Mus musculus: one gene and its partner. The protein of the gene in region 1 purifies or fractionates together with the protein of each later gene. This does not show direct contact. Links are inferred from orthologs where the notes say so. Each region holds a gene or a part of one and is shown on either strand. Other genes may lie near its edges. The genes, in order: Asb1 and Cul5.

Region 1 (3,809 bases):
AAGGAATTAATAAGTCAGTGGCGACAGAGTTTGGAGTTTACCTGTGCTTGGATTTGCTGTCAGCCATGTCTCACAGGCAGAGATTAACCTGTGTGTCTGTCTGATTGCCTGCCTGATGCCTACCCCTCACTTCTCCCATCTTGTCAGAGGACATATGAGTTGATAGTTTGTCGTTGGTCCTCTATTTCTCAAAGAACATTAGTAGCAGTGTGTTTTTGTTAGCTATACTCAAGCCAGGTCTCAGAAACATGTTCCTGTTTAGCTTTTCTCCAAGGTGCTGGCTGATGGCCTCCGGGTGGGAACCAGGAACAGAAGGAAGCTTCTTCTGGTCACCTTCCCTTCCTGAAGCAGGGGTTTAGCTGTGTAGTTTCCATCGAGGCAGGAAGACCGGCAGCCTAATCTCTGAGTTCAAGTACTGTGCACTTGGTGTCCCCAGGCCTCTGTGACCTGCTGGGACAGAGCAAGAGCGAAGGTCATTTGTTCTCATCTGTGGGTCCTCCATGGGTGGCCTTTTTCCAGGGCACTAAGCATTGCAGAGGGAGGAGTGGCTGACAGATGAGCAGATGCCCTGGCTAAGATGCAGATAGCAAGCCTTCTAGTAGCTCCCAGAGCCTCCTCGACTCAGATGAGGAAGGTTGGCTTTGGGCCTTCCGAGTTACGAGAGAAGTAACCTTTCCCTCCTCTTTCTCCTCACACTCCCCAGGTATTCCCAGGACCTTGCTGAGTTTGTGCCGGGTGGCTGTGAGAAGAGCTCTTGGCAAATACCGACTGCATCTGGTTCCCTCGCTGCCGCTGCCAGACCCCATAAAGAAGTTTTTGCTTTATGAGTAGCATTCACATGCAGTGCTGACTGCAATGTGGAAGCCGATCACCTGCAGTGAAAACTGACACAGACTCTGGCATCCTGGGAACCATGGCCTGTGCTGCCAGCTTGATCCTTGGCTGTCAGTGAAGAAGAAACGGCTGTGTTCTCTTGGACTGTGATTCTATCTCAGGTGCTTGGGCCATCGAACGCTCCTTGAGTCATTGTCAACTGAGAGGCACATACAAACTTAATTTTGTTCCTCTTCAGTCTCTCTGTTTTGGATTCTTCCTGGCAATGTGTGCAGCATGGGCTGAGCCTGGTGATTGCCCTAGTGGGGAAGGCTTTTTTCTCCAGGCTATGCATCTATTTATGTTCCTACTTTGCAATTTATTGTTCTTTTAAGGCTTGATATCAAAACAGAAAGAGGTTTGTTAAGAAAAGATATAGGGAGAAGGAATTCGGTTCGTGCACTTGCTAGCCTGCTTTCTTGCCTGGGTTTGTCTGTCTATGCTGCCTGGTGCACATCCCTTCTCTTTGCTGCCACTGTTCTATTTTGGGAGTTGTCTTCCGTCTAAGATGGCTTCTGGGGTTCTATCTTATTGCACAGAGGTCCCAGAACAGTGTTCATAGGGCACCATCTGCTCTGCCAAGGGTTTTCTGATGTCTTACCCTGGGGATCTTCAGACAGTGGTTACCTTTAGGAGACCCACCTGGAACTAACCATTAAGTGACTGCCCACATTCAGATCAGGGACCATCTTAATAGTACTCACTGCCAGTCCTCACAAGAGAAGATGACACGGGTGCTCTCTTCAGACACTCCCATACAGGAAGTGGAAAATGTCTTGGTCACCTGGGTGGTTCCAGGCTACAACTTCTTGGTGTCCACTAGACAGGATATCTAGGTGTTGGGTGACTGTTCCTCCCACTTTCTGACCCAATGCCTTTGTGGGTGCTTCTAGAGGTCTTTCCCTGTCCTGCCCAGGGCTGTTGGTGGGTGAGAGAGATGAGCTTATTGCAGGATTGCAGGTTTGTTTAACTCTTGAGTGGTGAGTGTCACAGCAGGTGGGCCCATAACCACGGCCTTGAGCATCCTTAGGTTGCTCCTGTTTCAGTGAAGTCACCTTTTGTCATTCTGAAGCCTGTTAGGATTACTGTGTGGACCTTGCTGATTATAGACTTGAGAATATTTGGGACAAGCAGGTAATAAATCTGTTTAGACTTTTGGCCATAAAGGGGATTTAACTTGTTAATACTTTCCTAGTGTACCATTTTGTGTTTTAGCTGACCAGTCAGGCAGTTGGTAGCCTTGGGATTCTGTGGATGGAGTTCCAAACCCCACCCCAGTGCCTCAGGAAGGCCCAAGGCAGCAACACCAAGCTGGTCCAAATGTACTACATGAGTTTTGATGAGCCTTGCCCAGTCCTGGACAGTGAGTCCTGTGTCTGGGGCAGGAATGAGCTGGCCAGAGCCTGTCCCTGTCTCCCCACAGCTGTTCTGTGTGGCCCCAGCACAGCTCTTCACTTGGACTTGAGTAGCTTTCCCTGTCTCAAACCAGTTTTCAGAACCTTTCAATCACTTCAAGGTTCTGCATGTTCAGAATTTCCAGCCGGTAACTCTGAATGTGACACAGCATCGGCATGGACTGAGGGCACTTCCCCTTGTCGCCAGTATGCTATGAAGGCACTGCATGTCATTGCTGTCAAGGATGAGGTACGGGGTAAGAAGCACCCCAGGTTCATGAGAGGTACCATAGGAAGTTGATGTGACTTCGGTGAGGACTGACCCTCTACTCAGCAGACTTCTGAGCTCTGGTTACCTGTGTCCTTCCTAGCATGGGGATGTGGGTGTCTGATGAACCTACTGCCTTCTGGCTGAACTGGCCCTAGCAGAAGAGCTTAGTGGTCCAGAGGAAGGAGCCTGAGGGTTGTCCCAGCTCATCAAAGGGGTATTTGTGGGGTTGTTGCTGTTACTGGGGCAGCCACTTGATTTAAGTGAAGACTTGTGTAGTGGAATCTTGGCTAGGCAGGTTGGAACCAGTGATGATCCCTCAGAATTTATCTTTTCAGTATTGGGCTTTTAGACATATGTCCAGAAACCTGCCAAGGCAATGCCATACATTTTGTAGCTATTTTACTTGTGATGTCTATCTGTCTGTCTGTCTGTCTGTCTATCTATCTATCTATTAATCTATTATCTACTTATCATCTATGTATTTATGTATTTATTTGTTTATATATTTTTGTATTTATTTATTTATTCATATTCTTTTTCCATAAGAGGACTTAAGCTGGAGAGTCTTATTTTGTTTTGACAGTAGATTGGTAAAGTAGATAATTGGCATTTTTCAAATATTGACCAGTACTGATGTCAGGCTTAAGGACCATTATTTCAGAGTTTCCCCTTTTCACTTTCATGAATGAATTTTTAGATAAAAATTTCCTGAAAGATAAAGTCCTGACTGTGGGCCAGAGCGGAGGGAAGTTCTTCATGCCTGAGAGCTGCTCTGGCCTGTGCTCAGCCAGTTCCTGGAGCAGTGTCTGCTCTGCAGCAGACAGGAAGAGCTCTTCCTGTGCCTTTCCAGGGACCCTGCTGAGGTCCTGTGAAGTGCCGAGGCTGCAGACACTTTGTTTGGGAGGGGTCTCTGTCCTGAGAAAACTGCTTCCTAGTGGAAGTGCACTTACGGTGGTCACAGTGCTGAGAGCCCACAGTCTGGATTTGGGATTGACCTTGTGGGGCGGTTGGATCATCTTGACCCACAGTGCAGCACCAACAGAGAGCCATTCGAGCAAAAGGGTAAGGGTGGCTTGTAGTACTTGAGGAAATCAAATTTCCTCAGCTGACTGGACTGCCTTTTATTCTTCAGTCATGTCATTCCTGACAACAGAAGGCTTGCTGGAAAGGGATGGTATGGGGCTATGGCTTTGCATGTAAAACACTTTTGATTGGGATCCACAGCAGTGTTCTTTTCACCTCTGCCTGCTGCTGTCCTGGCACAGTCTGAT
Region 2 (4,499 bases), on another chromosome or scaffold:
TAGCCTTTACATTTAATTTTTGCCATAGCACTATGCTATAGATGTTTTAATACTAATTTCACAAACAAGATAACTAAGGCCCATTGTGAAGTAGCAGATTTTTTTTTTAAGATTTATTTATTTTATGCATATGGGTACGCTGTAGCCGTCTTCAGACACACCAGAAGAGGGCATTGGATCCCATTACAGATGGTTGTGAGCCACCATGTGGTTGCTGGGAATTGAACTGAGGACCTATGGAAGAGCAGTCAGTGCTCTTAACCACTGAGCTATCTCTTCAGTCCTAAAGTAGCAAATCTTAACTCACTTTAAGTGCTATATTGTTTAGATAGGGGTCTCACTTTATAGCTCTAATTGGCCTGGAACTTAAGAGTGTGCTAGGATTAAAGGCATGCTCCACCACACCCAGCACGAAGCAGATATAAAGAACTCTTGGCCTTTTCCGAGGGAGGCGTATACCTATAATCCCACCAGTCACTCTGGAGGCAGAGGCAGGCAGAACTCTAGAGTTCTAGGTCAACTTGGTCTACATACAGAATTCCTGGCCATCCAAGAATACATAGAAAGTCTTCTTTAAACATAGCTACCTGGAATGCTTGGGGCAAAAGGAGTTTTCAGGCATAATATATGAAATAAAATCCTTCAGAGTGGAGCCTGAAAGTCTGCTTTTCTAAGTAGCACCCCAGGTTATATTAATATAAAGAATGCACTAGCAACGTTTGAGAAACTTTTGTTTTCTTGGGTTTTTTGACCTAGCTGTTCTGAAACTTGCTCTGTAGACCAGGCTGTCCCCAATCTTACGGAGATCCTCTTGCCTCTGCTTTGAGTACTGAGACTAAAATTGTTGGACAGTGAGAGATGAGTTTCAAAGAAACAAATTTGATACCAGGTGGTGGTTTCCCACACCTTTAATCCCAACACTTGGGAGGCAGAGGCACCTACCTCCACTCTCCGAGTTCAAGACCAGCCTGGTCTACAGATGGCGTTTCAGTACAGCCAGGGCTACATAGAGAAACTGTCAAAAACCAATCCAACCAACCAACCAAGCAACTAAAACCCCCAAAGGGTAGTATTAGGAACTTGCATAATGCATTAAATAACAGCTAACCTGAGAGATCCCTGTATAAATTACATTCTCTTCCCTTGATCAGAGATTCGTGATCAGAAGCGATGCAATTTGGAGAAAATACTATAGGGTGCTCTAGGATATGTCTTAAGGAACCCAAGATTAACAATCACTTCTTGAACAAGCAGGGTTTTTTTTTTTGTTTATAGGAATAACAGTACGTTTGTGCATCATTTATTAATTGACTGGGCGCCTTCTCTCAGTCAGCATTTCCTGAGGACAGCAGTAAGAAGCCTTCCAGGCTAATCTAATCCTGAGCTCTGAATAGCCATTCCGATCTGGGGCGAGCGCGTGAGGGCTGCGCCGGCTCCAGCCAGCAGAGGGCGCGCTCGCACCCTCCGCGCGGGCCTCGGGACCCAGTGGCTTGCTGTCGCCTGGGTTGCTCCCGAGCACGCCCCCGCCCGCCGCGTCACGTGACGCCGCCACGGACCCTGAGGTGCGGGCCCTAAGCCGAGATAAAGTCGTTGCCGGCGGCCCAAGCGGGTGCAAGCCCAGCGGCAGAAGCGAAGGCGAGCTGGGGAGGCCCGAGGAAGTGGCTACTACCTCTTCCCGGTCTGGTCGGCTCCCGGTCCCTTCCCACCATTCGCCGCTCGCGTCTCCTCAAGCGTTTGCATGCGCTCTCTCGCGTGGGCAGGCCGGGGTGACCATGTAGCTGGAAAGCCCGAGGAAGCACGGCTGCCCGGGACGAGCTCGGCGCTGACGGCACGCCGCTCCGGCGTCCCCCGCATCCCCCGCCGCGGCCTGCGGGGTCCTGCTGGGAACCCCGGCCTCTCGAGGAGGCCTGGCCCCGAGCGCCGCCAAGTCTCGCCCCGTCTCGCGAGAGTCCAAGTTGAGAACATGGCGACGTCTAATCTGTTAAAGGTAAGTCCCCCCGGCTGCAGCCGGGCTTTTGCCCGGCCATCGATGCGCTCGGCTCCCGGGGAAGGACCGGGCTCCGTGGGAGCGGCAAGATGTGTATGAGGAGAGCGGTTCGGGGTTGTCCACCGGAATGAGCCGGGGTGGCTGTTGCCCGAGCACCCCGACGCCGGGCCCTGGCCTCGGGGGTCCAGAGGACCTGGTGGGTTCCTCCCGCCGGCTCACCGACTCGCAGCGATGCTTTCAAGGGACCAACCCCGGCTGGGAGCGAGAGCAGTGTCGCTGGGCCGCACCAACCCATCATTGTGACTCTTGGGGCCCGTCCCTTCTGAATGGAGTGTCAAAGACATAATAGGGGAAAAAAATCCCAGCAAAATGCTGCCTAGCAGGTTTCAATGGCTGGTCCCCCCATGCTCCCCCAACCCCATTCCTTAATTTCTGTTCGCACTCTGCAGGAACTGTGAGTTAGACAGCAGTGCCTGCCTGCCACTTCACCTCTTTCCTCCCTTCTCTGAATGTCACACCTTCCCACCAGTTCTCTCACGCCTGGCCGTCTATTTCCACCTTTTCTCTGTCCCTTGAGGAACTGTCTCCCAATCCTGACCTCCCTTATAGGACATCGATGGCACCCGATCAAGTGCTGCTGTCCATCCTTTTAGGGTGTAGAAAAGTTTTCATTTAAAGAAAGCATTGAAAAGTTGTAAATGCCAGGAGAGTCCCAGGGCGAGCAGGTTATGTAGAATCATCTCTAAAAAAATGAGGATTGAGGAAGACAATTGAGGCGAGTTTGTGTTTTTTAGTAAGAATTCTGACCTGAACTTACTAACTGAAATATGGGACTAGTGATTACCTGAGGGGACATAAACACTATGTTCGCAGGCTGTGTGAATTAATAATAATAATAATAGATAATAATAGATAATGCTCCCTCCCCCCTAAAAAAGGGTCTCATTGGACCCGTCTTGCCAGAACTTGCTGTGTAACCTAGCTGGCCTTGAAGTCACAGAAATCCATTGTCTACACTGAGGCTGAGGGGAATGAAAAGGCCTACCTGACCCAGCTAGGAGTAAAGATAACTAGGATGATTTTTAAAGCTCTGCATTCCAATATGGTAGCACATACCTTTAGTCCCAACGCTCTTTTTTTTTTTTTTTTAAGATTTATTTAAGTATATGAGTACACTGTAGCTGTACAGATGGTTGTGAGCCACCATGTGGTTGCTGGGATTTGATCTCAGGACCTAGGAAGAGCAGTTAGTGCTCTTAACCACTGAGCCATCTCACCAGCCCTAGTCCCAACATTTTTGAAGCTGAGGCAGGCTGATCTCTGAATCCAGGCCAGTCAGGGCTGTCATTAGAGCCTGACTCAAAGCAAGAGAGAAAAAGAAGTACTGTAACTTCATGACAATATACTGGAAAGACCAGTAACCAACTGAGTGAAGTCAGATGCCAGAAATAGGAATTTTCAAAAAGATCTTTGTAGCTTTACCTGATCTTGGTACTCACTGTGTAGACCAGGCTGCTCTTGAACTTAAGAGAGGATTCTGGGTGTTCCCCACAAGGCCTGGCTGATAGTCTGATTTTCTATAGCTAGTACTGTTGTAATATGAAGGACATAATAAACAGACATTTGATTCTGTTATCTCTACATTGTCAAACATTTACCTATTTTAGTTGTTGGAACTTTTGGGGAGAGGGATTCCAAATACTCATATTTTGAAAAGTACTAATCATAAAATGGGGAGACTGAAGTTTGTCTTTGGAATATGTGAGGACCAGCCAGGGTCTGTCTATGATTTAATATATGGGATTATTAAATTCAGGGCTGTTACTACCTTGAGTAGCTATAGAGCTTACTGGGGAGTGGCCAAATTAGCATATTTTTTGTTGGACTAGTATATTGGCTTATTTGAGAAATGCCTTGGACTTATGCAAGTAGATTTTACCAAAGAGAGAATTAGCATGTCCATCGGTCAGACAAGAGTAGTGTGAGTCAGTCCCAGATCTACCAGCTGTACCTGACACATGCTGAATAATGAGCCCGAGCCCCTTCAGGGGGAAAATCTCAGCTTGCTTGTGACTTCCAGAAAGGTGGTTTTTTTGTTTTGTCTCATTTGTTTGGGGTTAGGTTGTTTTGTTTTTATAGTTGACAGAATTCAGAGAAATAACTACTAGTACATTTGAGAAAATAAGATTAGAAACTTTATGAAATTTCTAAGAATCTGATGCAATAAGATCTGCTTTTATATTGGCATTTTATTTTATTTGGGATCATGTTTTCTGGTTAGATCAAGTGAACTGTCAATTGGATTTTGGCAATTTTTTGAGTATGTAGTGCATATTTGACAATACAGTTTGCAACTGGTTGAATCTTCTGACTCCGTTTCATGTGGGACCTATCCCTGTTTTCCTTACACAGTCTAGCTGTAGAACATTTCATCACAGCCCCGTTTCATCTCCTACTTTGGATTACTTGATACTTAATTCTGCCTGTTCTTTTTCTTTTGTAGTTGTCATCT

Evidence for each region.
Region 2: the proteins of Asb1 (region 1) and Cul5 purify together in Homo sapiens (affinity purification with mass spectrometry; 6 studies listed by BioGRID and IntAct, counting the BioPlex papers as one, with this or other methods). This does not show direct contact. The link is inferred for Mus musculus from reciprocal best matches to the Homo sapiens genes ASB1 and CUL5.

Annotation. Positions count from the first base shown.
Region 1 is NC_000067.6:91,554,048-91,557,856, forward strand, and holds part of Asb1 (ankyrin repeat and SOCS box protein 1), read left to right. Parts: intron 1-703; coding exon 704-831; 3' UTR 832-3,809. UniProt on the Homo sapiens protein: Probable substrate-recognition component of a SCF-like ECS (Elongin-Cullin-SOCS-box protein) E3 ligase complex which mediates the ubiquitination and subsequent proteasomal degradation of target proteins.
Region 2 is NC_000075.6:53,664,526-53,669,024, reverse strand, and holds the start of Cul5 (cullin-5), read left to right. Parts: upstream 1-1,517; 5' UTR 1,518-1,963; coding exon 1,964-1,987; intron 1,988-4,499. UniProt on the Homo sapiens protein: Core component of multiple cullin-5-RING E3 ubiquitin-protein ligase complexes (ECS complexes, also named CRL5 complexes), which mediate the ubiquitination and subsequent proteasomal degradation of target proteins.